4 linked regions of the Neodiprion lecontei genome follow. The protein of the gene in region 1 binds, or shares a complex with, the protein of each later gene. Links are inferred from orthologs where the notes say so. Each region holds a gene or a part of one and is shown in the gene's direction. Other genes may lie near its edges.

Evidence for each region.
Region 2: GATOR complex protein WDR24 (region 1) and GATOR complex protein NPRL2 share a complex: the UniProt entries of both Drosophila melanogaster proteins name them as parts of the GATOR complex. The link is inferred for Neodiprion lecontei from reciprocal best matches to the Drosophila melanogaster genes Wdr24 and Nprl2.
Region 3: GATOR complex protein WDR24 (region 1) and protein SEC13 homolog share a complex: the UniProt entries of both Drosophila melanogaster proteins name them as parts of the GATOR complex. The link is inferred for Neodiprion lecontei from reciprocal best matches to the Drosophila melanogaster genes Wdr24 and Sec13.
Region 4: GATOR complex protein WDR24 (region 1) and GATOR complex protein NPRL3 share a complex: the UniProt entries of both Drosophila melanogaster proteins name them as parts of the GATOR complex. The link is inferred for Neodiprion lecontei from reciprocal best matches to the Drosophila melanogaster genes Wdr24 and Nprl3.

The regions. Positions count from the first base shown.
Region 1 is NC_060261.1:40,149,358-40,159,205, forward strand, and holds GATOR complex protein WDR24, read left to right. Parts: upstream 1-1,650; 5' UTR 1,651-2,020; coding exon 2,021-2,117; intron 2,118-2,222; coding exon 2,223-2,339; intron 2,340-2,496; coding exon 2,497-2,719; intron 2,720-2,846; coding exon 2,847-3,060; intron 3,061-3,143; coding exon 3,144-3,392; intron 3,393-3,460; coding exon 3,461-3,621; intron 3,622-3,700; coding exon 3,701-3,884; intron 3,885-4,014; coding exon 4,015-4,168; intron 4,169-4,320; coding exon 4,321-4,444; intron 4,445-4,538; coding exon 4,539-5,043; intron 5,044-5,119; coding exon 5,120-5,281; intron 5,282-5,390; coding exon 5,391-5,519; 3' UTR 5,520-8,229; downstream 8,230-9,848. Other genes in the region: prefoldin subunit 1, read right to left, coding at 1,008-1,388; ras-related protein Ral-a, read right to left, coding at 9,456-9,572. UniProt on the Drosophila melanogaster protein: An essential component of the GATOR subcomplex GATOR2 which functions as an activator of the amino acid-sensing branch of the mTORC1 signaling pathway.
Region 2 is NC_060264.1:241,342-248,370, forward strand, and holds the start of GATOR complex protein NPRL2, read left to right. Parts: upstream 1-3,378; 5' UTR 3,379-3,503; intron 3,504-3,581; exon of another isoform or gene 3,582-4,425; coding exon of another isoform or gene 4,426-4,692; intron 4,693-4,804; coding exon of another isoform or gene 4,805-5,101; intron 5,102-5,222; coding exon of another isoform or gene 5,223-5,431; intron 5,432-5,529; coding exon of another isoform or gene 5,530-5,824; exon of another isoform or gene 5,825-6,204; intron 6,205-6,749; exon of another isoform or gene 6,750-7,029. Other genes in the region: phosphopantothenoylcysteine decarboxylase, read right to left, coding at 1-351; cytochrome c oxidase assembly protein COX19, read right to left, coding at 565-822; putative nuclease HARBI1, read left to right, coding at 4,426-4,692, 4,805-5,101, 5,223-5,431, 5,530-5,824. UniProt on the Drosophila melanogaster protein: An essential component of the GATOR subcomplex GATOR1 which functions as an inhibitor of the amino acid-sensing branch of the TORC1 signaling pathway.
Region 3 is NC_060266.1:1,254,107-1,260,162, reverse strand, and holds protein SEC13 homolog, read left to right. Parts: upstream 1-4,044; 5' UTR 4,045-4,198; coding exon 4,199-4,440; intron 4,441-4,531; coding exon 4,532-4,919; intron 4,920-5,204; coding exon 5,205-5,513; 3' UTR 5,514-5,556; downstream 5,557-6,056. Other genes in the region: rho GTPase-activating protein 21, read right to left, coding at 1-128; ribosomal protein S6 kinase delta-1, read left to right, coding at 742-903, 976-2,022, 2,117-2,250, 2,314-3,379, 3,440-3,535, 3,643-3,750. UniProt on the Drosophila melanogaster protein: Functions as a component of the nuclear pore complex (NPC) and the COPII coat. At the endoplasmic reticulum, SEC13 is involved in the biogenesis of COPII-coated vesicles.
Region 4 is NC_060263.1:27,315,258-27,323,317, reverse strand, and holds GATOR complex protein NPRL3, read left to right. Parts: upstream 1-3,205; 5' UTR 3,206-3,484; coding exon 3,485-3,646; intron 3,647-4,284; coding exon 4,285-4,556; intron 4,557-4,726; coding exon 4,727-4,822; intron 4,823-4,908; coding exon 4,909-5,127; intron 5,128-5,306; coding exon 5,307-5,481; intron 5,482-5,689; coding exon 5,690-5,848; intron 5,849-6,120; coding exon 6,121-6,297; intron 6,298-6,379; coding exon 6,380-6,754; 3' UTR 6,755-6,950; downstream 6,951-8,060. Other genes in the region: vacuolar protein sorting-associated protein 13C, read right to left, coding at 1-25, 161-372, 730-892, 967-1,093, 1,160-1,267, 1,378-1,518; UDP-N-acetylhexosamine pyrophosphorylase, read left to right, coding at 7,813-8,060. UniProt on the Drosophila melanogaster protein: An essential component of the GATOR subcomplex GATOR1 which functions as an inhibitor of the amino acid-sensing branch of the TORC1 signaling pathway.

The DNA.
Region 1 (9,848 bases):
AGTTCGAAATAAATCTGCAGATTGGAGTGAATTAATCATTTTTAACTAATTGCTTTGTTATTGTATTTTCATCAAATTCGTATCCATTTAGAAATACTCAACAGCAATACAAATAATTGTGAGCAATTGCAAGGCCAATCTTGTTCCCTGTGTTATTCCAGTATGATATGTGATATAATATTACGAAATTAACGAATAACTGCATACAAACGAAGAGTGATTAACACTAGAGAAAATTTTTAAAAAATTGCCAATCTATAAAATTCCAATCTTTTTTACTCTGAGGAGGAAAAAAGGAGAATGAAAGAAAAAACAAACGTTTCATAACATTATTTCTTTTTTAAATACAATAAATCAGTTGAAGCGCCAAGTTTTGGCACATGTAGATTTTTAAGTGTAGTTTAAATGAAGAAAAAATGTTGAGGTTCACGGAATCAGTTTAAGATAACTAAGTGGATTAAATTTAAAAAGGAAAAAACAAAAAAAAAAATTAGCCGTAAGGAAGACAGTCTGTTGTATGTAACATTCCTGTCGCTGGAATAAATTAATGATAATTGTAAAATGATTTGCTGAAATCAATTATACCCCATGTCTTATTAATTATAAGAACATTTTAATGATCATTCTCACATGTGGTCACTAGGAAAAAGTTCGGAAATTTTAAATTTGTATAATTTGAGAGATGAAGTCTGGCTAAATAGGATAAGCAATTATTGCACCATAGAGGTGACTTACTCATTCTTACAAAGGATATGCACAACAGTAACTGTCACCAGGACAAATAAGTAACGTCCCTACATTATTAAATAACCAGTAACTACGTAAGGTAAAACGAATGAAGGTAATATGTAAACATGATAGGTTTATTTTATGGATTACATTTATCGAAAGCACACAAATAATAATGATGTTAAATTAGAGTTACAACTGATAGATGCGATATTGCTTGAATAAGGGTACAACTTCGACAGAAGAGTAAAAGCAAGTAAAGATGTGAAACTGCTGTATCAACCAGAGGATTCGTTGCTTTGTCGTTGCTGGACCATTTCTCTAACGTTATTTGCGTTATCCTTTAAGCTACGCTCCAAGAACGCTTTATTGTTTTCTAGAGTTTTGATCTTCTCGTCGGCCGTTTTCATCCGTTTCTCAAGCCCTTCTTTTACGCTCGCGATGTCGTCTAGCAAGAACATTCGACCCACACTCTCGTAGGTTTTCGTGTTTGGTGGAAGTGAGGTTACCTCCTTAACCGTGAGCTCGGCATGCTGCTTTGTTCGTTTTAACGAATCAATTTGTACGTCTGCGAGCTTTAATTTCTGTGTCGTATCAATTATCTTCTGTTGTAGTTCGGAAAACGCTTTTTTCAGCTCCTGGTCTTGCGCTTTTGCCATTTTTTCGTTTTTACTTGCGAATTACTAACTCCACGTTATGTCAAGAATCGCTGAAAAGTGCACACCGCAAAGAACGAAAACCCAGGATCGACTATACAAATGCTGTAATCACGGCTTCGAAATACATATATAGATGCTACGATCACGGGGCGTTGATGACACGGCCATTTTTTTAAAAAACACTCTCTGAAGAACAATAATAATAAATAAACATTTTACCACCCGTCAATTGTACCAATGAGGATGCATTACACTATACTCGCCAAAAATCATTTTTAGTTTAATGACACTACTGTAATTACTGCGAATGTGCTCGTCGTAAAATCATAAAGATCGGGGAGAAAGAATTCATAAATCACTTCTATATGGTTATAACGTTTATATTGTCGCATAAATACTGTGTGTCACAATGACGAATGATGTGCGTATTTCATTGTATGAAAACAATCAATCAAACAATTCGTGATCTTACTTCTAGCAGGCGTACCACGTGTTTGTAAAATGTGTAATTCACAGAATGCGGTATTACCCTGACGTTTGATAATAGTTGTATAGTCCAACCTGAATTAGGGGATACCGCGTGAAGAAATCGAGACAATTGTTGATAAAATTTGGAGCTCACTGTTGTTAACATGACATCAAAAACGGTATTCGTTACGCAGGAGGGACCGGCAAATGCCTTAGCCCTAAATAAGGATAATACTCAAGTTGTGATCGCTGGACGCAATGGTAGGACAACCTTTTTCAAATCCTTCCATACGACTAAGCTGTTTTATTAATTTTCAATACAATTTACTGGTTTATTAAAGATTTATTATCGATTTTCTCCCTTAGTCTTCAAAATATTCGCCCTACTTGAAGACAAGTTTGAAGAAGTCTGCAATCTGAGAGTTGGGAAGAATCTTAATCTGAATTTTTCATGCAATGATGTTGCTTGGAATTTAATCGATGGTAAATAATATACGAAATATTTTTAGTGATGCAGCAATACTTGGTTTGGAAAATCCTCTGTTTCCTTAATTATCGGTATTATTTTCTAATTAAAATCCTGGATTGGCATACACCTCATAATTCATGCTATAAAAGAATGATTAAATGTCTTTTTTAGATCACATATTGGCAACCGCAGCCACCAATGGTGCTGTGGTGGTATGGAACCTGAATCGACCTTCTCGGTCAAAGCAGGAACACGTGTTTATTGATCATAAAAGAACTGTGAATAAAGTGAGCTTTCACATGACTGAGCCTATGTGGTTAATATCAGGCTCTCAAGACGGAACTATGAAATGTTTTGATCTCAGAATTAAGGAGGCTACTAAAACATTTTACAGGTATAGCGAGCCATATGGAAATACTATCCAAATTGCTCTTGCAAAGGTTTATACTCCAGTGAAGTTAAGAGTCAATCTGTGTCTTGTTCATTTACTTGTAAATTCATTGATTTGTTCACTCTTATAGCAACACAGAATCTGTGCGAGATGTGCAGTTTTCACCGCATCAACAATACACATTTGCAGCTGTTTCGGAAAATGGTCATGTTCAGCAATGGGACTTGAGGAAACCCGACCGATGCTTCCAGCATTTCACAGCACACAGTGGGCCAATTTTTGCTTGTGATTGGCACCCTGAAGCCTCGTGGCTAGCTACTGCCTCACGTGATAAAACAATTAAGGTATAGATGGTTATGGGAATATACTACAGGGATTTTTTTAGTACTTATATAGAAGAACAGAGATTAAAATTTGTATACTTCAGGTTTGGGACATATCAGCTAAACCCACATGTGAATATACAATCCATACAATTGCATCTGTGGGTAGAATAAAATGGCGACCTCAAAGAAAGTATCACATCGCAAGCTGCGCCTTGGTCGTAGACTGCAGCATTAATGTATGGGATATTAGAAGGCCTTATATACCGTTTGCTAGTTTTAACGAGCATAAAGATGTTCCAACTGGTGTTGCCTGGAGAGGAGATCCTCAGTACTTTTTATCAACAAGCAGGGTACGTATTTCCAGTGCCAAAATGAATAAAATGTTCCAGACCGAAAATTCACAAGTTTTGTTTCCTAGGATTGTACATTATATCATCACGTGTTTAAAGATGCAACTAGACCGGCAAGCAAAGCAAATCCTCAAGGTATTGCACTCAACTGCAAGGGTGATGTGGCATATGCTTGCAAAATCAGTGTGAACGCACCAACTACTGTTAAACAGTTAACTAGCATCATGAGGTATTTCTTGTGCTTGTGCTAATTGCCGCAATTAGACGGCATTTTTAATAATTTTACTACATTATTTCATTGTTCATAGGAAATCTCCAGCGAGTAATGACACCTTCTGTATGGCCTCTAGTATGATGCACAGATTCACGGAAACTGCGCCACGAGAACCTAAGTGGTTTAGGGAATGTGCTGAAGGATACTTACTCAGCGGTAGACTTAATGATATTTGTGATCATAATGCAGCAGTTGCCATTACTGCAGGCAGAAATGATGTGCGTATAAATAAGCAAATATGTCCTTCCACCATTCATACTTAGGTACAAACGGGTTAAAACATTACAAGTAAGCAGTAAACATTATTTGAACGCCATTCTATAGATCATAAAGAAAAAATTGTTATAGATAAGTACAGTATGGAGTATAACGAAAACACTGTATGCAAATCCACTTGGAAATATGTTGAAATCGTCGCCAAATGTTTCGAAAGATGATACTGTCAACACTCTGAACCTTGCACAAATTGGCATTGGATCAACAGTTGATCAGACAAATATAGGTATGACCAACATTGCTGTGATTACCATATTAAGTAAAATACTGCAAATCTCTTAAACATGTATGTAGAACTTAATGCATGGAATAAGTTGTTGAGCTTTTTCAACCTACTTATGCGTTTAGCTTAATAATAATAATAATACCACTATTCAGGTCATGAAAATGATGTCAAATCACTGCAAGGTGAAGCGCCTGGTGTGATTAGTGGTGGCGACGATGAGACTGAGACTGATGAAATGACTGAGAATCAAAATTTTATTGGCCCCATACTTCCCAGGTACTTTGCAAATATAACTTTTCAGTATGAAATTAATATCTGTGCAATTTTTTATTGAGAATGTGTAACTTATCAATTCAAATTGTTTTTAAAGTCACAGGCGATACCTGGCTGGACACAAATGTCAACCAAAAGGTGATTTCTTCTTTGGAGATGGTGAACTCGAACCAATAACAATGGACTACACATCTGGTTATATACACAATCTCATGAATCATGAAAATGATTGGACATTACCTAAAGAAGCATTTCCTTTGCGACACGAAATACAGGATAGATCCCCACCTCCTGAACAATTTCCCAATCATTCTCCAGATATGAATGACAATGATTCTGGATCAGTCACAGTAGAGGATCAACCTTGTGAATTGATAGTGACTGCCGTTCCCAAGCCATTATTTTGGGATCCAACACAGCTAATTGAAGAAGCGTTGAGACATCATGCAGCAATTTTGGATGTTCAGACATCAGCGTCGATATTAATTGCTCTTGGAGAACGAAGAAAAAGTTTGAACATCGAGGCAGCAACTCAAGAGCATTGGTTACTCGAATATATCGACATGCTAGGTAGATTTAAATTATGGGAAATTGCTACTCAGGTAAGTTAAAAGTTATTAAAATATTTTGAGAGCCAATGAGGTGGTTGAACAAACACTGAACAATATTGATCCATAGATTATACAGCTAGCCTGGATGCCGTCTGTGTCTCAATTAAATCAGCAATCAACAACAATACATGCATGCTGCACAACGTGTACCAAGCCTCTTCAGAGGTCAGCGTGGTTATGTGATCGATGTCATACTTCAAGACATGCTCTCTGTTCGATTTGTCATCAAGTGAGTGTAACTTGTATTGTATTTTTATCAGTCATAACATAGCTGCTTCACATTAAGCAGTGTTTTAACTGCAACAAATGTTCCAAATGATTCAAATAAGGCCTTTCAGGTTGTGCGCGGTGTGTATGCATGGTGTCAAGGTTGTGCTCACGGGGGACATGTAATTCATATGAACGAATGGTTCGAGAGTAATCGTCAATGTCCAACAGGCTGTGGCCACATTTGCGAGTTTACTTAACTGCAAAACTTCGGCTCTCTATTGGCTACCAGTGAAGGTATTACAGTACCTAATTTAGGGATGCAATTACTTACTGAAAGGAGTATTTAATGTAACTTTTTCGATAAGTAAGATAATTATTATGAGGCAAGTACAGCATAGTAACTCCGATCACGCTCATAATTATCTTTGAATCGCACAATGTTATGTCGTATCAAAGTGATACCTTCTAGTCACTGACAACGAGTATTCGACATTTACACAGTTATTTATGATCCAAATGCAGCAAACATGCTCATCTTTTTACTTTTTACCCTGAAATTTAAGATTTATTTCACCACACTCAAGGTAATGGTTTGGTAAATCAATAATTGTAATTTGAAGTAAGAACCCTGCTGCTAGTGAAGACACATACAATATCCTGCGCTTTCCTCGTGCCAAGAGTAAGTTTTAAGTACGTATCAACAGACCACACAGCTCCTTTTTTTTTCTACTCAACCCATTAAGAATTGATTATATTTCAGAGGTCATTACACAATTATGCAATGTTTCAACTTGTCGAATAGACACGGTTAGTCGTGACAAGTATTTTTATAAATCATTAACAATATTAACAGTAAAAATTAGACAAAATGTACAAATGAATAGGTCTTTATATTTGACTATGGTTAATCCCACGTTTTTGATTATTATCAATGGAAAAAGAGACTGCATGGAGAAATGATGTACCTATAAATGAAATGTTTTTTGAAAATCTTCACAAAATCTTTCCATGTATCTTATACTACCAGTAACATATAGTGTTGTGCTGAGTGTATTGAAATGTCAATAGAATCATGATTTTCAAATCGCTAAATTTTAAAGTTTACTAATAATTCGTCAGTGACCGACCAAAGTTATTCATATGTCATGGGGTGGATGATAGTGATCACGATGAGCAGTTATCGATGACCGCATCGACACCCAGCTGCGATGTTATTATGGCCTAGTATGAGTTCATAACCCGTCGACTGGGCGCACGTACGAAGAATTAGAGGAAATGAGAAGAAGTTACATTGAGGAGTTGAATGTTTGAGTGTATAATTGATTTATTGTCAAAGATATTGAGAGTGCAATAAGAAGACGTGAGGGAGAAAAAATGGAAGAGAGGTTTTTAAGATATCCGAATGAATGACGACTTGAGAGTCTGTATATGGGGTGAAGGATGCAAAGGACTGGGCTAGTTGCAGTGCAGGAGTAGAGGGGGCATTCTGCTGATGCGGTATGCAAAGTGAGACAGTGAGGTGATGATAAGAAGAGGATGCAGGGTATAAGGTGACTAAAAGAGTGTGGGAAAAGAATCTAAGGTCTCGAGGACCCAACACATGCATTACAAATACAAAATTAGGATTGTTTCCTTATATGCAATTATTGTGTTTTATATGAATAATGTACATACTTTTGTCATAGTTTCAACTACTGTAAATATGTAAAGCAAATAGGCTAGTAGCAAAACCAAGCAGTAAGAGAAGATGAAGTACAAAACATAATGTCCGTACTTACTTCATATTTTTATGTATAAAAGTCATACGAAACTTCTTATTTGATCTGTTATGTTGTGATATGTCATTTCTGAAGAAATTCAAAATACATAGTGGATAAATCATGGATGAAGGACTTGCAATGATTGTAATATGCTTTGAAAGTCCATGACAGGATTCTTTCAATCGTGTATTCATATTAAAGGTACAGAATTATAAATTATATTACAATTTTTCACGACGTTTATCGAGTGAGTAAATTGCAAACTGAGGTGTGATATAAAGTATTAAGTATTACAAAAAACAATCGTACAATGTCCAATTGATAACTTTTAAATCTGAAAATTTTGTTATATACGTATCAACAGTATCTGTACAGTAATTGAATTCGGATACGCTGAAACTTACACAAATGAGTTGTCGCATTATTAGAATTTTCAGTAAGAACAAATTAATTGCACAAAAGAAATCAAAATTTATATTTACCAAGTGTAGCAACAATTTTGAATCACTGTTATTGTGTTATAGGTACAAGAACTTATACTAGGAAAGATCGTTAATTTTAGACCAGTTAGTTCTCTAAAACTCGATTTAACAGTAAATAAGATCGTTCACATACTACGAAACCAGGGAGCTAATATTATTAATCAGAAAACTTGACGTTATTATAGAGATAGTCTGATATTCAATTCAACTAATTTAGAATATTGAAGAAAAGGCACATTTACCGGTTGGAAAAGTACAAAAGTATGAAAATAATTTTCAACGCTATTTATGTATTGCATTTAACGTAAAAAGAATTTATACAGCTTATGTCACTGGGAAAATATAATACTTTTAATGTTGTGTTCACTTTATTGATTACAAGATTTCCGTTATACTTGCGTTCAAATAATTAATTGAAAATGCATTTTCTTTCCGAAAATAAACGGAAAACTATTTTTGAAGTACGTCTACAAATTCACAATACTTATTGCTACACGTTTATATTCACCATTAAAAATTTTGTCAGCTTTGAACGGAAATCAATTTTATTGAATTTTTTTTTTTTTGTAACGAAATGAAAAATTAAAATTAAATTACGGTAATTATATAATATACAAGCATGCTTGCATTAGATATACAAATGACATAATTTGCAACTTGCCAGTCGAGTATAATGACGATGCAATGGAATCAAATGACGAGTAGGTATTACACATGTACAAAAATGATGCAAAAATATTTGCATGTTCAAATATGAGCAGTGGAAATAGTGTGAGGTTCCTATAATTGCAAATTACTTTGTACCAAATTCATCAGAATAGAGGGCACAAGCATTGCACATTTCTTGTGCATATACATATAGGTGTACATTTAAATTAGTTTGTTACGACTGGGCATTTATCATGTATTGTTGAAAACATTACAGCCACTAATGAGTGTAAAAATTACAGCTGCACGAATTGCATCAAATATTCATTTGAAATGGTATAAGCAGATGTCAGGGCCAAATGATTATTATCCCTTTTTGAAGAAATGTGAAATATCTTCATGCCATGGAACAAAGGAGCTATTTATATTATTATACCTCGCTAAGAGATACGCAGCAATGATTTCAAATTATGATCGTTTTTGAATATGTTAAAGTAATATGCAGCAACTTGGTTTCTTCTTCCGTTCACCCCCCTCACCCTGATTTTCTTGAGCCTTGCGTGCAGCTATTGCTCGCATTAGGTCAAAGAATACCTGGAATTATCATTCTTTCAATTTTATAAACTACCAAACAAAAATGGTATTGTGTAGACAAGTTTTAAGTAATTTAAATGGTAAGAATTATTTGAAAGTCAGGTGATATTTCTGTCTGGCAGATAAGTTGGTAAATTTAAGAATTATGTTGCTTGAATTAAAGTTTGACACATGTAAATAAATAATATTATCACTTTGGATCAAAGTTAAGCAGCTATTAAATTCAACTTTCTAACATTAAGAAGCATTCCATTTACAAAAGCTGTACTTTTTGAACATTAATTTTAAGCAAAACTAAATAAAAATTTAACAAAGGTAAAAGAAATTTACAAATCAGCTACAGACATTAAATAATAGACTATTACATTTGCATCAGTACATGGAAAGATACGTTGAGCTGAATTCAATAAAAAAACGGAAGTAAGCAATATGGCATCGCAACAAGGTAACATCAAAATTTTTATGCGTATGAACCATTACAGAAATATTATGTTGAACTTTTATATCATATTATATAGTAAGTTTTTGAAAGTTTCAAAAAACGTTTCCAAAATAAATAAGCATGTATGCTGTAGTTGGATTGCGATACATGTACCAATAGATTTTAGTTGTGAGTAGGTAAGTTTATGCAGAGGGGAAGACTGATGCACTGTTTATAGTATGAAAATACCATATGAGGAGAATAAAAGTGCGAGAGGAGATTGCCAACCTATAGAATAATGCACATCTTTTTCTTTCTCTTGGCACGATCCTTTCCACGGCCATTACTTGCAGATTTATCTTCGATCTTGCGAGACCTTATCTCGCGCATTAGGTCGAAAAATACCTGAAAATGCGCAAGAGATACTCTGTCTCAAGACTTGTAAGCATGAAGCAGATGCAGTCATACAATTTAAACAATAACTTTGCTGAAGTGTTTCATTGATGTAGATATTTGGTTTGTGACTTTTGTATGAAAACACAAATAAAAAACTTTCTGAAAACTTGAATACTAGAGTTCTCAAGTTTGCAAATCGTGTAGAACACATTTAGATTACATTGATATAAATGCCACCAAACGTGTCCATATCTATTTAGTGCAGATGATTAAGCCACAAAATTC
Region 2 (7,029 bases), on another chromosome or scaffold:
CCAAGCTCTGGCGACACAGGTAAGTATGTTATCGCACATACCGCTGGCCAGTTTCCCCAGGGAGTTTGCATCCAGAGGAGCAATCAGGTACAAATCTGCCCACTTGACAAGATCGATGTGAAGTATAGGGTCGCCTCTATCTTGCCAGGCAGCCCATTCCACCGTATCCGACAATATTTGGGTACCAGGTGGCAGGTCGGACTCTTTGAAGAAGTGCTTAGCTCTCTCCGTCACGACAACTCTAACTTCCAAGTTTTGTTCCCAGAATTTTTCCGCTAGAGTAGGAAGCTTGATTGTCGCCACACTACCCGTGCAGCCTATGAGGATCTTTTTTCTCGTCGTACAAGACATATTTTCAATGTATTATCAAACCAGGGTATTGACATGAAACGAGAGTAAGGTATTATATCGCTGCGTACGACAGCCTGAATTAAAATTATACTTTCAAAGATAAAGAGGGTAGATACAAGAGCACCCTCTCTTAATTGTAGAGGAAGTAATTTCACGGCGATATATCGGTTACCCTCTGATTTATAGGCGAGCTAAGAGGCGGGGTTAAAGAGGTTATGTTTCCTTTTTGTTTTCGTCACCGAAACCCAGCTTTGACCATTCCTCTTTAGCCATAAGATTGTTGTCCATTCTACAGCCAAGGTAATCTCTAGCGACGTCTCTGCAGATTGTGTTGTTACCCTTGTTGTCTCTGAGGCAACGCATGTAGTCAACCATAACCCGCTTGCATTTGCCTTCGTGATCCAATGGAAAGCTACCCTTCTCGGGCGGCGTTGGGGTGAATATTTTTTGACCGAATGTAAACGACGACATCACGTCTTTACACGATTGTTATTACGCGAAACATCGACTCTTAACTCCTCGTCCTTATCACTACCATTGAGCAGACCTTAACCTCTGTATTAAATGTTGGTATAAAAGAAAATGAGCAAATCACCTCCGACTGCGTACATACGTAACGGTGGTCAATCCAAGGCAATCCAAGCTCCACAAAACTCACACACTAGCTATCTGCTCTATTTTACACGTGCTTCAACGCACGCACACGCCGTGCAACGAATGGTTGACGCAGTCCCCTGACACCACTGACACACGCTGCTAAAAGTGGTTCACAAAATGTCACTCGATTCTGCCGCCAATCTCCACCACTATTGGCGCTAGTAGTTGTCTGACAAGCTGTCAGAAGTCTTTTAGCGCCACGTAGAGGAACTAACAAACGGGGACAAAACGCGTACAATTTTTTAGTATACGAGCAGTGCTGTGTGTCAGGGACCTGGTGTGACGTCGGAACGGTACCTAGTGGAAATCTCCAGATGTTAGACACCGGAAACATTCACACGCAGCTACAGCCAGACTCACATCAGTAGTTTGGGTCACCAATTACCGATTAAGTATTGAAATACACCGGACAACGGGCATTCTGTCGCTCTAGTCGAACGAACCGAAGAGGGAGAAATTGTTGGATAAAAGATTTAATTTGGCTTACCTTTTTGAGAGTATTCTGGATGCGATGACTTGTAGATTGGTGAGAGGTCTTAGTGGAATAACTGACTTTAATATTTGGATATTTTGACTAACTTGGTTTATTTTATAAGTTTGATATTTAAAAGTCACAAACGCAGAGTTACACAGTGTAAGATCTTAGACTTAGTAAAAATGGAGTTGAAGCTCGCTGAACTTTTGGGCAGAGTAACGTTGTATGAAAGTTTTAATGCAAAAGGCTAAAGGATTTTACCGCGAGACTGTACCGGAACTAGATGACGAATCTGGAGGTAGAAACACAAGAGAGCGATCGAGTGATCGGTCGCCGTTTTTATAGGGGTCGATCGTTGCGCAGAACGATCCCCCTCTCTAGTTTTTTGGTCGCCTTTGCGCACCTCCCCTCTTTTCTAGGAATTCTAATTAGGGCACGACATCTTCGCCGCATGCACGCCTGTGATCTTAGTTCTTTAGCTATTACTATATTGTAGGTTTTTACGTATGGTATATCGCTGCTTGGTGCGGTGGTGTAGGTGCGTGGACTTTGTTCCGTAGTTCTCTGAACTGCGTGAGCTTTTCGTTGAGGCGCCAGCCCCCTTTGTGGCGCCAGCCCCCTTTGTGGCGCCAGCCCCCTTTGTGGCGCCAGCCCCTTTGTGGCGCCCGTCAGCCACTTAACTACCTGTCTACCTCTGAATGTTTTTGCTATCTTGCTCGTTACAAAGCCCATATTTCATTTTGGTTACCTGTCGTTTGTTAGTTTTATAGTTATATCTATATAGAATTGTATATGTATTATAGTCGACTACTGTCGTTGTTAGTTTTATAGTTGTATCTATATAGAATTGCATATGTATTAAAGTCGACTACTGTCGTTGTTAATCTGGAGTACAATAGCAATTGTTTATGAACATAGTTTGTTATTTGTTTAGCATTATTAGAATCACGCTGCTGCGAATATCTTTAGTTGTTTGTGTTATAACTATCTTAACAGATTTAGGGTACTTAGTAATTTGATGATTCATAGCTTTAGAGCAGGTTTACATGTGTGCTTTTGTATATGATTCCCTTCTGTAGTTGTTAATTCTTATATTGATATAAATCGGCTTGGAAGCTTCTAGAACGTTTTCGTTTCGTCGGTAAGTTTCCTAATGTATTCTCTAGGTGAAGCTCTGTTGGCTCCACATTGGAGATCTGCATTGCCTTCAAAACGTTGCGCGTGTTGCCTACAATACGGCGTTGCGAAAGAAGGTATAGTTCATGCTGGGTAATTAGCATTCACGGTTTGATGGTTTTGCAGTCTCTGGTTTTATGGGTTATTGCAGCAGTGCTATCTTTACATTATATTGGTTATGCATTTATCTATGGTTTTACAGTCTTCTATACTCCAGGCTATATAGTAAAGCGTATGTTGCTTAAGTATAGCTCTCAGCTCCGAATGCACAAATGGCATTGTTGAGTGCTATATAATAATTGGGTATAATTGTGTTAGTTAATTATAGTGTTAATATGATAGTGATATATAATAACGTATAATAGTATTATAGTTCTCTGTGGTACGAAGATCTCGTAACATGGTTTTTAAGCCTTGGCTAGTGAATTTCATAGTTATTTCCATCTAGGGATATTCCAAATAGTTAGACAGTTGTTTTAATTTCTTATGGTTACAAGATTCTCGTACTTCGAGTTTGGTTAGTTGATAAAAGTAACATGCAGTAATAATAGTCGATAAAACATACGGACGTTCCGGTCGGACGTTACACTGGGTTGACACAACTCTCTGCATTCGCTATTTCTCGTGTCAAGTATCACCATCTATGAGTATTACACGCTATTCGTCGATGACTACCGAACTTTGCCTCTAGAGGCGGTAGTGGGGAGGAACCAAAGTAGGTGTGTTCGTCACACACGGAATGCACGTGGTAAAACCACCGTTACAACAAGCACATGGATCTAAATATCGGAACGCACTCGGTGCTGTCGTCAGTCGGATCTAGCAGAATAGGCCAATGAAATTAGTCAGTGTCGTGTTTTGTCAGAAAATTGACGTAAAAGGCAAGCGCTCATTAACTTAGGCCGGTATTCATAGTCAGTGCTTAAGACCGGACTCGAATAAGACGGTCTTATACGAGGCCTTAAGATGGCGTTTGGTTCCATAGACGTCAAACAAGACGGTCTTGAGACGCGGCAAATAAGACGGTCTTCATCAAGTCGGTCTTATTTGAAGCGTGCTTACAAGGTTGCATAGTCCAGTCTTATTTGAAATAAGCATGGTCTTGAGCACGCAACGTTTCATAGTCAATTAACGCAGTCTTATTTACGTATCTTGGGCCGGTATTCATAGTCAGTGCTTAAGACCGGACTCGAATAAGACGGTCTTATACGAGGCCTTAAGATGGCGTTTGGTTCCATAGACGTCAAACAAGACGGTCTTGAGACGCGGCAAATAAGACGGTCTTCATCAAGTCGGTCTTATTCGAAGCGTGCTTACAAGGTTGCATAGTCCAGTCTTATTTGAAATAAGCATGGTCTTGAGCACGCAACGTTTCATAGTCAATTAACGCAGTCTTATTTACGTATCTTGATCAAGTCGAGTTCGGACTGCACTTAAGCAAATGCTTGTTGCCTAAATATTACTCAATTGTTCTGATGCGTACGAAATTGATAATTACGAATTGTTTGGAAAATATTATATTCGAACAATATAAATTAACAGGAATAGATTGTGAAGGAATGTTTGGGAAAGTGCAGCTGGGACGGGATTATTTACTGTAAAAGGGTAGCAACGGAAACTTGCAATTGAAGTAGAGGTTATGAGAGCATTCGCTTTGAAAAATTTGTGAAGTGAAGTGAATAGTGAAATTCTACTGACATGGCGAATATGCAAGATATGTTTAATTTCTACGATCAGATCGAAGAAATGAATAATATGATTGTTCAATGGTCAACGTTGGGCCGAATGACGAAGACGAGGGTGAAGTACAGCGAGCTCCGAAGAGATACATCAGAGATGGTCAAAACCCGTTCGAGTTTTATTCCGAGCAGGAGTTCAAACGGCGATTCCGATTTTCAAAGGATGGTATTATGTACGGAATACTACCTAGAATTGAAGCTGCCTTAGTCAGTGCCAATAATCGTGGTCTACCAATTCCACCTGTCATGCAATTATTAATATGTCTACGATTTTACGCTACCGCTAGCTTTCAAGTAAGGATCATTGTGATTATAATTCCTGATATTCTACTGAAAATATAAAGTGATTTCATTGCTTCCTGTGATCATGGAATAAATGATTGCTAATACATTTTGTACTGTACAGCTCGTCAACGGAGATCTGATGACTATATCGCAGTCTACAGTATCGAGGATAATACACAGAGTATCGGCTCAAATTGCATCATTGATTCACGCAATTATCAAATTTCCTAGTACGGAAGCTGCTATGATCGCAAACAGAGATCTATTCAGACAACTTGGTGCACGCAGGGAGGGTATCGGTTTACCTGGCGTTGATGGCGCTATCGACTGCACTCACATTCGATTATGTCATACGAAATTTGCAGACCTGCAGGAGGTTTATAGGAATCGTAAGGGATATTTTTCCCTCAATGTACAGGTATGTCGCGTTGGTGATAACCGTTTACAAATACCATAAGTTGCAATTAATTTTATCTAGGATACAAATAAACAATACTATTCTATGAAAATCGGTACTTTTAATTTAAATGATACCACAGGCAGTTGTCGGACCCAATATGGAATTCTTGGATGTGGTTCCGGAATGGCCTGGAAGTAACCATGACAGTCAAATATTCCAAAATTCACGAATTTACATGCGGTATCATGAGAGACAACTTACTGGAACCCTGGTTGGAGATGCCGGCTATCCGTGCTTGCCATTTCTGCTGACTCCACTGGCAAATCCAATTACAGATGCTCAACAAAGGTAAGATAAAGATTATCGCATTACTTTAGATTTCGATAAGTAGTCATAAAATTGACAAAGTATACATGTGTGAATTAACCAAGTCGGTATCTTGATAGGTATAACAACGTACAAAGCAGAACAAGGCAAATTGTTGAAAGAACATTTGGAGTTTGGAAGCGACGTTTTCCTTGCCTATCCCGAGGTTTGGGAACCAAATTGTTGTGCTCTACCACAATTGTTGTAGCTTGTGCCGTACTACACAATTTATCACTAACATTGGATAATGCTCTTCCGGAAGATAATCGCATCGAGGAAGAAGAAGCGGATGAATTGCCACTTCAAGCACCGCATTGGCAGCCTGGAGAGGGTTTTGCAATACGCGAAGCTCTAATCGAACGGTTATTCATTTAATCAAAATATATGTATATCAAGTTAATTTAATTGTAAAGACTAATTGATTTTAGAATGAATATACTCCAAATATTTAATAAAATTGAATTTAATCTGTACAAACAGTTAACATTAGAATACATATTTTACTCATAACTTATCATTGGTTCTCATTTTATTTTTAAACCCCTCACTTACTCATGAAAATACTGATATGTACGTAATTGTACTAAGCGTCAGTCTTATAGTTACGATAATACTTATGAAAATTTGTCTACGTAAAAATATTCAGTACATTATAAATACAGCCAGTAAATAGAACTAAAGTTGCTCTTTTGAACTTTGAAGATCAAAGGTTGTCCCTTTCACGCGCATTTTTTTGCAAGTCTGCACCGGGATTCCTTTTAACATATCAATACAATTTATTTATCAGTAACCGGTATAGAGATTTACATAATGATATAGGTTAAAATATGTGTATATAAAAATTATATACACATAAACATACACTATAAAATTCTTTTTCTTCTTCTTCGTTTTATAGCTATACACCCACTACAAAAAATTGTATGCGATTTGTTCCCGTTTTTTAGTTCCTCTACGTGGCGCTAACGTTGTTGTGTTCATAAACTATAAAAATACTCAAGAGCTGCATGCCTATACGAATATCTTGCACAGGCTGAGAAATAAAATCCGAGCATCTTATTGGGGGATACATCGGAAATATTCCGAACATAACCGAACGTCGAATAAGACCGTCTCAAGCTCAGTCTTCGTCAAGACGGTCTTGAATGAAATAAGCTAGCGCTTGAGACCAAATTCTTGACGAAGACCGTCTTGTTTTCCGACTATGAATACATAGCATCTCAAGACGGTCTTGAACGAATAAGACGATCTTCACCAAGACGGTCTTAAGCACCGCCTTGAGACCTGACTATGAATACGGGCCTTGGTCAAGTCGAGTTCGGACTGCACTTAAGCAAATGCTTGTTGCCTAAATATTACTCGATTGTTCTGATGCGTACGAAATTGATAATTACGAATTGTTTGGAAAATATTATATTCGAACAATATAAATTAACAGGAATAGATTGTGAAGGAATGTTTGGGAAAGTGCAGCTGGGACGGGATTATTTACTGTAAAAGGGTAGCAACGGAAACTTGCAATTGAAATAGAGGTTATGAGAGCATTCGCTTTGAAAAATTTGTGAAGTGAAGTGAATAGT
Region 3 (6,056 bases), on another chromosome or scaffold:
GAGTCCGGCTTCGCTGAAGAAGACGCCGCCGCCTGTTTCTTGATCCGGCGTTTAACCCCCAAATTCCGAAGATCGTTTGACAGTATCTGGTAAACCTTCTCCTTGTCCAACACGTCGTAAACAAACATATTTACCGTCTGGGCGAGGATCGGATAGCGCCAGATCCTCCAAACGGGTGTTCTTTATTCATAAAACTCAACTTCAATTTGACAATATAAAGTATAACAACTTGTTTGTAACAACGCGATTTGAATTATCGAAGTTTATTGTTGCCGGTTACGTATACGCATGTATATGATGTTTATCATTGTTTTCCAACCGCCTTGCCTCATGGTCGCTATGCAGTTCGTTGCGGAACGCAAAAAACTCGTTGCGTTCTGTAGAGGGGATAAATCTACTGATCGCTGCTGCGGGTGCGTTCCGAAACTAACCCTAGTGCTGTGAACCATCTTTTATTTCTTTTGCGTTGCCGAGTTCATGGGTAAACACTCAGTGGATAATTCCTGCGACCAGATGGCGTGCGGGTAATTTAGAGAGTTTCTGTTCAAAATTCTATAGAGTATGCATATGTATATGCATATACACGTGGGAAATACCACCAAACCACCACACTTAATCGATACATTTTTGACACCTTCGTTCATAACAGAAAAAGACTTGGACTCGCGTAATTTAAGACTGGTTTAGTGTTGGGTTAACACAGAGAGAAAAGCACGAGCCGTGCTCGAATGAAATGTTCGCATGAACAAAGAAGCCCTGGTCAATAATTGGGTGCTATACGATTCAAAGTCTAATAACAGTAAATGGCACCATCTAAGGAAAAATGGGTACGAAGGTTCCTTATCAATGAGACTTCGCGTCACAGGAAAGGATTTACCGTGTACAAAGTTACATCAGTGGTCGGTACATATACTATTATTAATTTTAAGTCTACTCGAACAACAGTCTCTCCTTTAGCTGCTCGTCTACTTTCAGATATATCCTAAATCAGCCCCAGAGGCTGTGTCCAGAGTTTCGGTTTGGAAGCGATACAGCGACTTTAGGAAGTTGTACCTGGAGCTGAGCAGCCGTCATGACACTTTGAGGATCAAAGAGGCCTTCCCACCTTTCCCAAAGCCCAAGTTCTTTGGCCGTTTTGAGGCGGAAGTTATTGAGGAGCGACGACAATGTGCAATCAGACTTCTGGAGTTTGTAGCAAGGCACACTCCACTTTTTACAAGCAATGTAGTTGTCAAGTTCTTCGAGTCTGGACATGCCAGAGACTATCTAACCGACTGCTCGGCATCCATCGGCTCCGATACCTCTGAAGAGGACCCAAACTTGAACTCCGCTCTCAGAGGCACCAGCTACGTTCCAACCACTGTGCAGAATACTCAGTTTCCGACTTCAAATGGCAGAACGATCATACTAGCCAACAATGATATTGAGACGAGTGATAATGTTTCCCAGAGCTTATCTGTGAACAATAACTGCATTGACGAAATTGGCGTGGTCAGTGAGAATGGCGTCAACATAAGTGGGACAAAGCCAATCAATAATAAGAATGACGAAGAAAAACTTGAGAGGCAATCGCCAACCTGTGACAGGTATGATGCCCCTAAATTCACAGCTTCGCTTCAAGCTTCGAATGGCTTTTCAGTCCATGATGGATCTGACTTACCTGAGGGTGCCGCTGAAGACTTGAGCAGTTATATTCTAGTATCAGCTACCCACATGAGCGCAGCTTTCAGACACGAGGCTGTGTGTGAATACGAGGAAGCATTCACGCTGTATAAATTGGGCATAGCAAACCTACTCAATGGTGTTCAATCTGACCCTGATTACGGGCGCAGAGCCACGATCAGAGACAAGATATCCAAGTATTTGGAGAAGGCAGAGAGGCTTTACAACAGGCATCTGAACTGCAACGTAGGCATGCTTTCCAAGCCTACTAGTGAATTGGGAAATTATAAAGTATTACGTGTTATAGGCTCGGTCATGCTGGTCAGAGACACTTTGCGTGATTGCAATAGAGTTATAAAGGTAAAGCTCTCTGTGTTATTCGTCATTTTGAAAAATAAATAAGAACTAGCTTTGATCTGGGCAGCGATGTTTCAATTAGTAATTCTCTTTCCAGACAGTCCAAAAGCCAGCTGGGTGCCTTGGGAGTCTCCGCGATTACATTCTGCGTGGCAAAATCCCATTCATGGTACGGCTTTACGCATGCATAGAAACGGATTCGACGATATTTCTTGTCCTGCACTATGCGAGGTGAGTGGAAACTGGATATGACTTTGCTGATTTTGATGATGCGACTCAGCTCTTACATTTCAGTGGAGGAAAGCTCTGGGAGTATATCAAGTCGTACTACAAGGGCCGCAACACAGTCTCTAATTGGAGAGAGAAAGGGCATACAAGGTCAGTGAGTTGCGACGCTATTATTCAGTCGAGTCTGGAAAAGAAGAAGCTAGGAGTTAAGGAAAGACTGTTACCGAAAATTGACGGACTTGCTGAGGTTTCGAAAGACAGAGCTTGTGGCAGCAGAGAAAATCTCGATCCGCAAGAAGAGGAGACGATCGATCCTGATGAATCGCTCAGAAGATTAGAGGCAAAATTTGGAGCCAATGCTGCGCCTGTTAAAACATTTCAAACCACGGACTTACTCGCTAAAGCCCAAGAACTTCTGCGATTGGTTGACGCCACTCTGAAGAAAAGCAATTCAATAGCCAGCAGGTTGAATGAATCTGGCACTTTACTGTACAGTGAAGATAAGCCGGATCATTCTCGAAATTTAGCTCACGGTGGGGAGTTTCAGGCCCTAAATGTAACAGAAATCGATAAACTCAGTCAAGGTAACAGCATAGATGGTGTTCACGGTATTGGATCTGGAAATATAGATCTGAAAGCAAAAAATGAAAGATCAGACGAAGCTTTGGCAAATTCTAAGTCTAATTTTGTTAAGAACTTCAAAGTTGAGGACGAGTTAGTGAAAGAATCGTCAAAACTCAATGGCTCTCATAGAGTGATTGAGGAAACTATGAATTCTGGCCAATTGCAATCGATCGTTAACGAGGACAGCGGTATTGAAATGGATGACGAACTCTGGAAGCTTCCCGAAGGAACCATCCGATATTGGGCAGCTGAAATACTCCTGGCACTGGAATCTCTGCACCAGCAGGGTGTCATAGTCGGAAATTTAAAACCAGATAATATATTATTAGGCAGCGGAGGCCATGTCGCGATGACTTACATTGTCCCAAAACGAAGCTTCGAACTCTTGCAGCTAAAGAAGCCCTACTCCGCCCCTGAACTTTGTATCTTCTCACCAACAATTCCACCCTCCACTGCTGCCGATGTTTGGAGCTACGGAGTCCTGCTCTACGAGCTCTTCACTGGAATTGTATGTCCAATTATCATAGTTTAAATTGATATTCGTTGAGTTTATGTTTTCTGTTTTCAGAAATTCCAAACTAAACATCCTGGACCATATCACTCGCATTCTATTCTCAACATTCCTGAAGAACTATCAGCGAACGTGAAATCATTGATCTCTAATGTGAGTTTGAAGAGTTTAAATACTTAATTAGTTCTCAAAATAAATGAAGCAGTGCATTCAAGTCAATGAATTCCTTTGTATATGATTGTCTTACTCTCCTTGTTCAGGTATTGCGATACAAGCCAGAGGAACGTTTATCTATTCCCGAAATCAAAGAGTCTTCATTCTTCTCTGGTATTGATTGGACCGCCTGGGCTAACTCTAGTTTTACTTAGTCGTAATATACCTATTTTTTTCCTTCTACAGTACGCCATATCATGTATTTGTCAATCTCCAGTCAGTGTATAACTAGTTCAAAAATAACGAACAAAATAATATTTATCACAATCGACATAATTAAAAGTATATAATATGTATTCTACTTCAAATTTTGAACCATCCCGCCGATAGATAAAATAACATAACAAATGGAAAGGCACGTGGGGCACGTGTTGTCTTTTTACGAAAAATCCCTAGCACTTCGTGGTGACTCTGATGCTTTTCGTTGCCTGATGTTGGTGCCTTTTAGCGCGTGTCCACTTCATCAGATTCCACGTATGTCAGTTGGATCAGTTGTGTGGTTATTCTTCAATCGCTGCAACGGACAATTTGCGACAACAAAAAATAGTGAAAGAAACAATATAAATAATAACTCGTTGCGGGTAAACGAAGAGATAATTGAAAATGGTCTCCGTTCTAAACACGGTGGACACGGGCCACGAGGACATGATACACGATGCCGAAATGGACTATTACGGATTGAGGTTAGCTACCTGCTCAAGTGACAATTCGGTGAAAATATTCGATCTGAAGAACGGCACGCAAACCCTCGCTGCAGATTTGAAAGGCCACGTCGGTCCTGTTTGGCAAGTTGCCTGGGCTCATCCGAAGTTCGGCAACATCTTGGCATCTTGCAGTTACGACAGGTAAATTTGGTGATCTCAATACTTTTGCTCCACGGTTTTCCGACCTTATGCAAAAATAAGCAAAATCTAAACTGTACTTATCTCGCGTTAGGAAAGTCATAATTTGGAAGGAGCTTGGTGAGTGGACCAAGATATATGAACATGCGTCCCACGACTCGTCTGTGAACTCCGTTGCATGGGCGCCGCACGAGTTCGGACTAATATTAGCATGCGGCAGCTCTGACGGCTCGATCTCCATACTTTCTAACAATGGTGACACCTGGGATGCCCAGAAAATTCCAAACGCACACACCATCGGGTGCAATGCGGTCAGTTGGTGCCCAGCCATTGAACCTGGATACGACGCTACCGCGCCTCACCCTCGCAGTGGACCTGTTAAGCGACTTGCGACTGGAGGATGCGATAATTTGGTCAAAATATGGAGGGAGGATAACGAAAGATGGATCGAGGAAAATAAACTCGAGGCTCACAGCGACTGGGTAAGTAATAACTCGTTTCAAGTATCACCAAATTTGGACATCTGGTCTCTTCCCTTTGTCTAGGGCAAGAAAAGAATTTTCATTACTTTTTCTATTCCCAGTGAAACATTTGTGTCCAGAGGCTAATCACCTATTCGCAATCGTGATCGATTTGAAATCATGTAAGATCAATAGAAAAGAGTTGAATTCATATCAGAAATTATTCAGCATTAGCAAAACAAAGATGCTGTAGATAAAATTAGTGGATTCACCAGCCATTTTCTTTTCCTTGCAACATTAAATTAGGTCAGAGATGTGGCCTGGGCGCCAGCAGTTGGACCACCGAGAGCGGCACTGGCTTCCTGTTCTCAGGATCGCAGGGTGGTGGTGTGGACGTCGACAGATTGCACAAGTTGGACGTCGACTGTCCTGAACGTGTTTGAGGACGTTATATGGAACGTCAGTTGGTCTCTGACTGGTGGGATTCTGGCAGTGAGCGGAGGTGACAACAAAGTATCTCTGTGGCGTGAAAATTCCGAAGGCCAATGGGCATGCATTTCGGAGCTCAATAAGGGTCAGGGAAATTTGAACAATCCAGAACAACGAGCATTGTGAAATTAGCATAATAGAACTGAAGAGAAAAATCAGATTATCATTATTATTGTGTATAAAACGTATTTTCCTCTTCCTCTCTTTTTCTTTCGCTTTTTGTGCAAAGGGGAAAAAAAAAAAAAAAAAAAAACGAAACTTGACTTTATAACTACAAACTGTACTATAGGCGGTGAACTTTTTTAAAAAGTTTATTAAATTTTTTTTTCAATCGATTCTTCCAATAATTTAATAAATCCTTGATTTACACTCGTAAAACGCAGATGCAAATCGAACATTAGTTTGCGATTTCTCTGCAATTTTGGCGGACACCCAATATTTAATTTATAACTTGCAGTAAACAGACAATCGATATTTACAAATTTGACAGAAATCGATCGTTTTTCAAAATGTAAAAACAACCACAAATAAAAAAAACATTTGTACACAGGTGCGAGCAGCAAAAGCAATACGAACAAAGACGTGTCGCACATTGGGGGGAAAAAAAGATAAAGAAACGGGCAATATGTGTCTGCTGCCGATTGGAGATTGTAGAAAATTGTGAAAAAA
Region 4 (8,060 bases), on another chromosome or scaffold:
ATTCTCGCAGTGAATGGTTTCATTACTATAAAAAAAGTATGCCTTACAAATTTTCGAATGTAAGGCCACATTATAGGAGTGCCATGTAATATTGTGTAAACTATATCTCCAATCAATTATGAAGCTCATGCATTCCAATTTAAAAATATTTTCTACATACGGAATTGAAAATCTTGATTGTTGATGCTGAATGTTTGAAGTGCTTGATGCATCACATTTTTCCATGACAACAATTTTGCAAGTTCCAATTTTGTTGGATATTCTGGCAAACAAGTCTCTGCTTTAGGGTCTAAATAAACTGATATCGACTCAGCTCTCATCAGTTGATAAATAGATGTTGAATTTGTGGCAATCACACCTGGTTTCCATTTACTGCAAATCGTGCCAAATTTAGGAATTGAATTCATACAAAAAAGGCAGTTGTGAAAACTTACAGTGAACATCTAATACAAAATAATAAGTAAAAGCAACGTTAGCATACGAATACACAGCCACGAGCCTGAAATATATATTCATTACAGAGAGAAAAGTTCACTTTGTTAGCTAGAAAAATAAATAATATTGTTCGATGCATAAAAATTCCTATCTTCATCAGTGGTTGTTTTTGAAGCAAAGTAAGTTTTGCACTTGAAAACACAAAGCAGAATTGGTTGGTGAAATTTTTCCAGGTCTAAAGATTAAATTACATGCATAAACAAACGTGGTGTGATTGTTTAGTTATATTATTACTTGTTAGTGGTAGTCACTGATAGACTCTGAATGCATAGGCCACAGGCAACGGGTATTGTTTGTGTAAAACTGTCCTCATATCTGACGTGGACATTATTGATGGTGATTTGAAAATTGTTAATAACAGATGTCACCAAGCTGTCGAGCAGACTAGAAGTTATTCCTAAGAAAAATGCAAATTTCTTTTATGAGGAAATTCTGATCTAAAGTTATCATTAGCTAATGGCAGTGTTATACCGTATCCAAGAAAGTAATCCTCATCTAGGTCCTCTAATATTTTTTTCTTCGCTGCCCTGATCAGACGCTTTTCAATTTCAGGATCATATACATCTCCTAAGGCAGGAACTGCTATTATATATATATCCTGAAATAATTTTCCAGTTGTGAGTACATTTCGGAAAGTCATCATGAAGGTAGATGTATATCATACCTCAATGCTGACAATAACTGGCTGTGAAGTAAGACCAGTCCAAGGTATCTTCAGACTAATTTTTCCAATTAATCCGATTTTTATTTTTATTGGAAGCCCAAGTTGATACTAAAATTAAAAATTTGCGAGTCTTTAACGAAGTAATAGCTAAACAGATATGTTTGTTAAAATATTCACAAGAATATTTTATTGAAGTATAAATATCTGTCTCTACGTACAAGGGCTTCTGTTTTCAGCTTCAAATCTGTAAGGTATGCATCACCAGAAAATATGCCTACATTGAAATTTTCGGTATCTAGATCTTCGACATAATTTCCTAGAAAACGGTTCAGAAGTGCTGCAACTGCTCCTTCAAACATGTTGAAAATTCGTTTCAATATATGGTCCCGTTAATCTAAAATAGAAATCGTTTTCTACTTTGAATCTGTAAACTCTAGGGCTCTAGAATACCTTAGCAAAATGCATGTACGATATCAAACTTGAATGCTTTACCATTTCAACACTTTTACTATCCACCATAATGTGTTATAGGTTTATGAACACTTTGCAAATCATTACCAACATTCATGTTTATGTTCAGAATGTTTAAAAATAAAGTCACTCTTTAAGTAACCTACTTTTATTACAGCAAAGGTCATTTCTTAAAGATGGTATTTTGAAACTGAATTTAATGTTGATAATGCATGAACAATTGGGACAATTATTCTGAAATCTATTATACAAAGTTTTCTTCTCTCACATTCCAATGCCGGTCATAGATTTCTAACAATCGTCTTGCACATTTCCAAGAATTGAGTCAACTTATTAAATTGGTAAGCAGGCATAGAAGTAATGAATATTTTTAGATTTTTCATAATGGTTCTTGCAAATAACGATGTTGAACGAACTGTAAGGCGTAATAGAGTTATTAATATATTGAGCAGTGTCGTGTAACATATAAAATGAAAAAGTCTGATACGAAATATTGATCTACTTTTATTTTAGTTATAATGTCGTGCAAAAATTCATGTGACTTCGTTTTTCCATCTTGTACCATACTTTTAGTTGTTTTTTGAAACACAATTAGGAACCGAATAATTTCAACAACTTATAAATATTAAAAACAAAAAACGAACACTTTTAATTGGTATAATAACAATAAAAATATTAGATCTATTGATTTGAAAATGAATGATAACATTACTTTATTGTAATTTACTGTAATCATCGGTATAGGGTGGATTTTTGCGAAGGTATAAAATTTTGCAATTTTCGTTCTGCGTCGTCAGTTACTAAGAATACTTAATCATGAATATCTTAGAAGAATTGAAAGTTTATGACACCAGCTTCTAAACATAGTATGCTATACTAATTGTTGGATAATATGTCTAAAACATGATACAAGATAGATAGTGATGAGTTGACATAGAAGTCTTGAATTACAGAATGATGGTTTCTCATTTACAATTATTATTCAAATGTTGAAGAAGAGGATTGATAAAGTATTGAATGTAAGATGAGTAATCGCAGTGTCAGCATATCAGATTCGCATATGTATTATTCAAACTTACGAATTATCTGAATTCTTCTCCAGTTAATATTCGCAAAGTGTTAGCAGAAACAGAAAGCATCTGATACCTTGCTTCAGTAAGCTGTCAAATGCTGTCAAAGCAGACCGTTTCATTGGTTGATACGATTTGCGAATCGAATTGCGGATATAATTATTTGATTTCATTTTCTAAGTTCTGAACGACCGAACGCAGGCCACTGTGCATTTATCCAATTGCCCGATGCAGTAATTTTCACCTACCTGCGTGAATTAAACTAGAAATAAAGTAATTCTTCCCAGCCCCAGGCCATAACCTAACAAATTTCACACCTCGTCCAGGATGGTTTGAAAGATGTAAAGCGCAGCGGACCTCGGGAATTGTTACTTGAAGTATTGATTTTATTTTCATCCTTGTCTGCGATATAGAAAGTGCGTCGTTAAACAGCGCGTGGAAGGCATGACAGCTCGTTGTATTAGAGTTAAAGTTAGGTTAGGGTTAGGGTTATGTTAGGTAAGTATTATTGGGTTGGTAACAGTCTCTCGTCAATCCGAGGTTTGACATAATGACAGAAAATTTGGATCGTTAGTTTTTATTTGTCGAATTCAAATTCAAGAAACCTTGCAAGTGGTCTATACGCGTTTTTGCCATGTAACCCGATTCCTGATTTAAGTTATGATTTTAAGATAATACCAAGAGTCTGTAACCAATCTCTCATAACTTCTCTGGCATCTCGGAGCATTGGTTAGTTGGATTGAGCTTTTTGAGTTCACTCATAAGCTCATCGAGAAACAAGGAAATGGAGATTAATCCATTAAGCGTTATTCTAGTGAAGAGTGACAGTAAGGGCGATCGAATGTTATTCAGATATCCTCACGCCGCTAATCTTGAGAGAGATTCCAAACAGTTTACAAAGAGGAAGAATCCTTATGCGTTAACAATCAGTGAGGATTTATTACAAGTATATTCCTCATATTTATTCTTTAATATTACTGCACTGGAAAATCCCAAACTATCGCAAACAAGTCTTATACCAATATCATCTTTGATAAGACCACGACTCTGTTGCTTTATTTTCATGTAAATTATAATCAATTTTCATACAGTATGTTTCATACGATATGTCTACAATGTAAGAGGAGTTATACAAAACTATAAAGATTTTATTTGGTCATTGTCCCTTATTTACCTCCTATTAATTCAAGTATTACTATATTTTTATTTCTATCTTTTTTTTCTCACTTTTCTTACTTTTTGATGAAAATTCTTCCATACTGTACTCTTGTTTAAACACCAATGCCCCTTCTTTACTGTATTAAGCAGTGCTTACTCAAATGTATGTTCGCATGCTCTTTAATTGCCTTGATTTTTACCTTAACTTTACCATTTTTATTTGTTGAGTGAGCAAGTGGAATTCTTATTTCGTTTCACATTACTTTGATCGCATTACATATGATGTTGCAAAAATATTTAACAATTGATCAATTTTTTATGAAGCTGTAAATTTGGTAGGAGTAATTAACAAAATGACCGTAATCAATGTGGAGTATAATTATTATCTGGCGCATGTTTATTTTTCATTATTTAAATAATTTTCAGTCGACACCATTTCCAACATCCAATATAAGCAATGGCAATCTTACTGGCTTATCTGACGAAGTTTTGTCCACCCTCTTTGCTGTTAAACCCGAGCTTTGTGAATTAAAGTTCGAACTAAAAGTCAACAATGTACGCTTTGTTGGACACCCTACATTGCTTCCTTCTAGGGGACTAAAAGATGTCAATTCATCCATGCTCTTCAACATAGTATTCGCTTTGCAGGCTCAAGCGAATCACTCTGTTGTTAAGTGTTATTACGATCTCAGTAAAAGGTAACTTTGAGGATAAATTATTTGTATCTTCAAACATCTACTGAAACCTACAATTACCTTAGTGACTTATCAATTCGATTTTGAACATGATTCATCACCAGTAGTTAATAGCTTATATATTTCTTTTATTTTAAAAAACCATCATATTTTTTGGATGTTCCATTATACAGACTGGGAATAGCTTTGAGACATGAGGAAAAGAGATGCGGATTTCTTACTGACGAAATAAAAGTGATGGTTTCCACTCATGACGAAGTAGCTGCTCGGTAATTTTCTACTTCCACTTTTTATAAATTGTCATACTCTTAGATGTAATTTGTACACGGATGTTATAATTGAATATACGATCCAGATCAGAAGAGGAAAGTGAATCTGATGAATCCCCTTATGAACTTATATTGCAAAGAAGTTCTCTTGCTCGAGATTTGAAGTCCGTTTTCAATAGCCTGAGTACATCAGGGGTAATAAATATCATGGTTAATAAATGGATACAAGTTAGCTTTTGTCTACCTCAAAAAGTTCATCAATCTCACAAAAAAGGATTCATTATGAACCCAGAAATAATTGACAGGTAATTCATTATGATCATCATCATTTAATTCTCTGCAAATAATTTGTAAATAATTTTCAGCAATGAATGATTGTGAATTATTATCATATTACGATAAATTATGATAACTAAATTCTGTGACATCGCAGTACTACTAATAATCAAATCATTCGCGTTTTAAATGAAATTATTTACTTCAGATGCCTCGAAAGTTTACGACCGTATCATGGCTTACTACTTTTGATAGAGCCTTTAGATTTGTTAGATTCGCTTCCTGCTGACTCGGCTCCAGCGCTAGTACGTCTTATACAAATGTACAGCCCACTCAAAAGTCTTCAAACATTAGCTGCAGATTCAGATCTCAGCTTGGCACAGGTGAGCCATAATGATAATTTTGATTGAAAATACTTCTGCCTTTTTTCAAAAATATTTCTCAATAATACTGTATCAATTACTGAAACAATTGAATGAATATTGAGGATTAGGTGCATATTCAATGGGATTTCTTTTTCACTACATTCAGGGTTTGATAATGTTTACATAGTAGTTTTTTTAATTACTAACAAGTATCACCTTTGCCAAGGTATTCCAACTGACTGGACATTTAGTGTATTGGGCAAAGGCTACTATTATCTATCCCTTGTGTGAAAGCAACGTATATGTCGTAGCTCCAGATGCTGTCCTCACAGCTCAATTATTGGATGCATTTTCAGAACAATTTCCAGGATTGTGTCTACTACAGGTATTGTCACAGAATACATTACAAACATGTAATGGTAATGCAAAAAAAAAGTATTTACGGTAGAGGATTCCGAAGTTTCTAAAAATCTTATTGAGATATCCTTTCGCATCTCCATTATTAAGACGAGTTAGATTTAACGAAAAGAAACAGATTCTGCATGTAAGCGATAAAACATTGACCTTTGCTTCTTAAACTAGCTTTTGGACACGTATAATTTTCTGTTATTTACTCTGTCATACATAACAAACTTGAATATTTCTGTTTGTTCATAGGTGATCAGTGATTTTTCTTTACCGACATCCATTAGTCAAAAATTGAACCCTCTGAGCCAACCACAACAACAGACTCAATTAGTGAAAATAATAATTTGGTTATTGAGAAATCATTTGTTACTTCAGCTGCATACTTACATTCAATATATGCCAACGCTGCATGGTTGCCAAAAAGTGGTAATATATGAACTTTGAAAAAGTGATAAACACCTGAATCACTTGCGAAATAAAGAGATGAGTATTCGATTCTATCTTGCAGACAAGCATAACAGAAGATGATTCTGGGCCAAACGAGTCTATGAAAAATCAACACAGCTGGGAAGGCACTGACGCATCTGCCGGTACACCAGGAGAAAGCGATACCGGGGCTTCTCCTGCCTTACGTGGGACAAGTGGAATTTTTGAGTATCAATCAGATGGTTTCTCAATTCCTTCGGAGGATATGATTTTACTAGATAAATTATGTAGACTTGGGTATCTAAAAGGCGGTCATCATCTCGAGGAAATTATGTATCTTGAAAATATTCGAAGATCGCAATTGTTACAAATATTGGACAAATTCAGAGACGTTCTCATAACTTGTGAAACAGAGGATCCTGCAATTGCACTTTTCTATTCTCATTTCGATTGCTAATCAAATTTTGGTCATTGTTAATCGAGATGAAAAATGCGGAGGTTTATTATACCTTGCAGAGACTGGCTGGTAATGTTGTATCTTCCGTAAAAAAATTCATATTTATTTTGACACATTTATGCCGTATGCGTTTTACCTTCAGTTTGAACAGGTACAATGCTAAGAGTGTTTTAATATAAGTGCTACTTTCAAATTATACGTGTTAATTACTATTTAAAATACCTCACGATTTAACGCACGACATAAAGTTACTTTATTATTAACTTTGAAGTTCAGTTCCATCTCATATCATATCTCATTTTACGTCAAACGCTTTAGACTTCAAGTAACGTAAACGGAAGATAACGATATCAAAATAACGGTAGGAATTTAGTTGTAACAATGCACCACTGACCGAATAATTGAGCACGAATGTTCAATTCCAACGTGCCAAATGCTTTCACTGCTAAATCGAAGTAGCAGTTCTTACAGTCACATTTTTTTTTTTTTTTTTTCTATCTTCACTGAGAATCAATCCAAATGGCGAAATTTTATAAAGATAATTACAATATTAATATGGACAGTGCGCAGGTTTTGAGGAATGTTTCGCGCCAGAATTCATAATCTTGTGCCGCTGATCTGCAGTAGTGACGTCATTTACCCAAAGATATGCCGGGTCTCATTGCCTGCCACGCGCACAACTCCCGCAGGTAAGATAACCTGTCGGTGTTTCGACATCCCTTTCATTTCTCCGATATGGAAAGAGGGGTCTAATTGTGAATGTAAATAAGCAGAGAACATTATTTCGAAAGCACCTTGGTCCAATCAAATGTTAACTACCTATCACATGGGAGGTGGGCGCAGGCGGGTTTGGGTAGGGTTAAGTCGGCGTATTGTGCATGTTGAAATGTCAGCTATTCAAACGCCTGTCACTCGTATCATTTGTCACACGTAGACTTTCACCTAATGTAATATTTGAGACTTTTACCGGCCCAGGTTGTCTATAATTAACGAATGAATATTGAAAACAATACCCAGCTGTGTGCAGTTAAGTAAATCAAGGCATAAAATCAATCGCGATGGCAACGGACGTTGAAAAATTATTATATAAATTACGGGAGTTTAATCAAGACCATCTGTTACAATTTTGGGATGAAATTAGTGACGATCAAAAATTACTACTCATTCGGGATATCGAGGAACAAAATCTGAAAGAGATTTCATCCTATTTTAAAAGTGCCGTTGCATCTTTGAGCAACGATCAAGTAAAATTAGATGCCAAACTACGCCCGATACCCAGCGAAGTGAGTGCCTCACTGCAGAATTC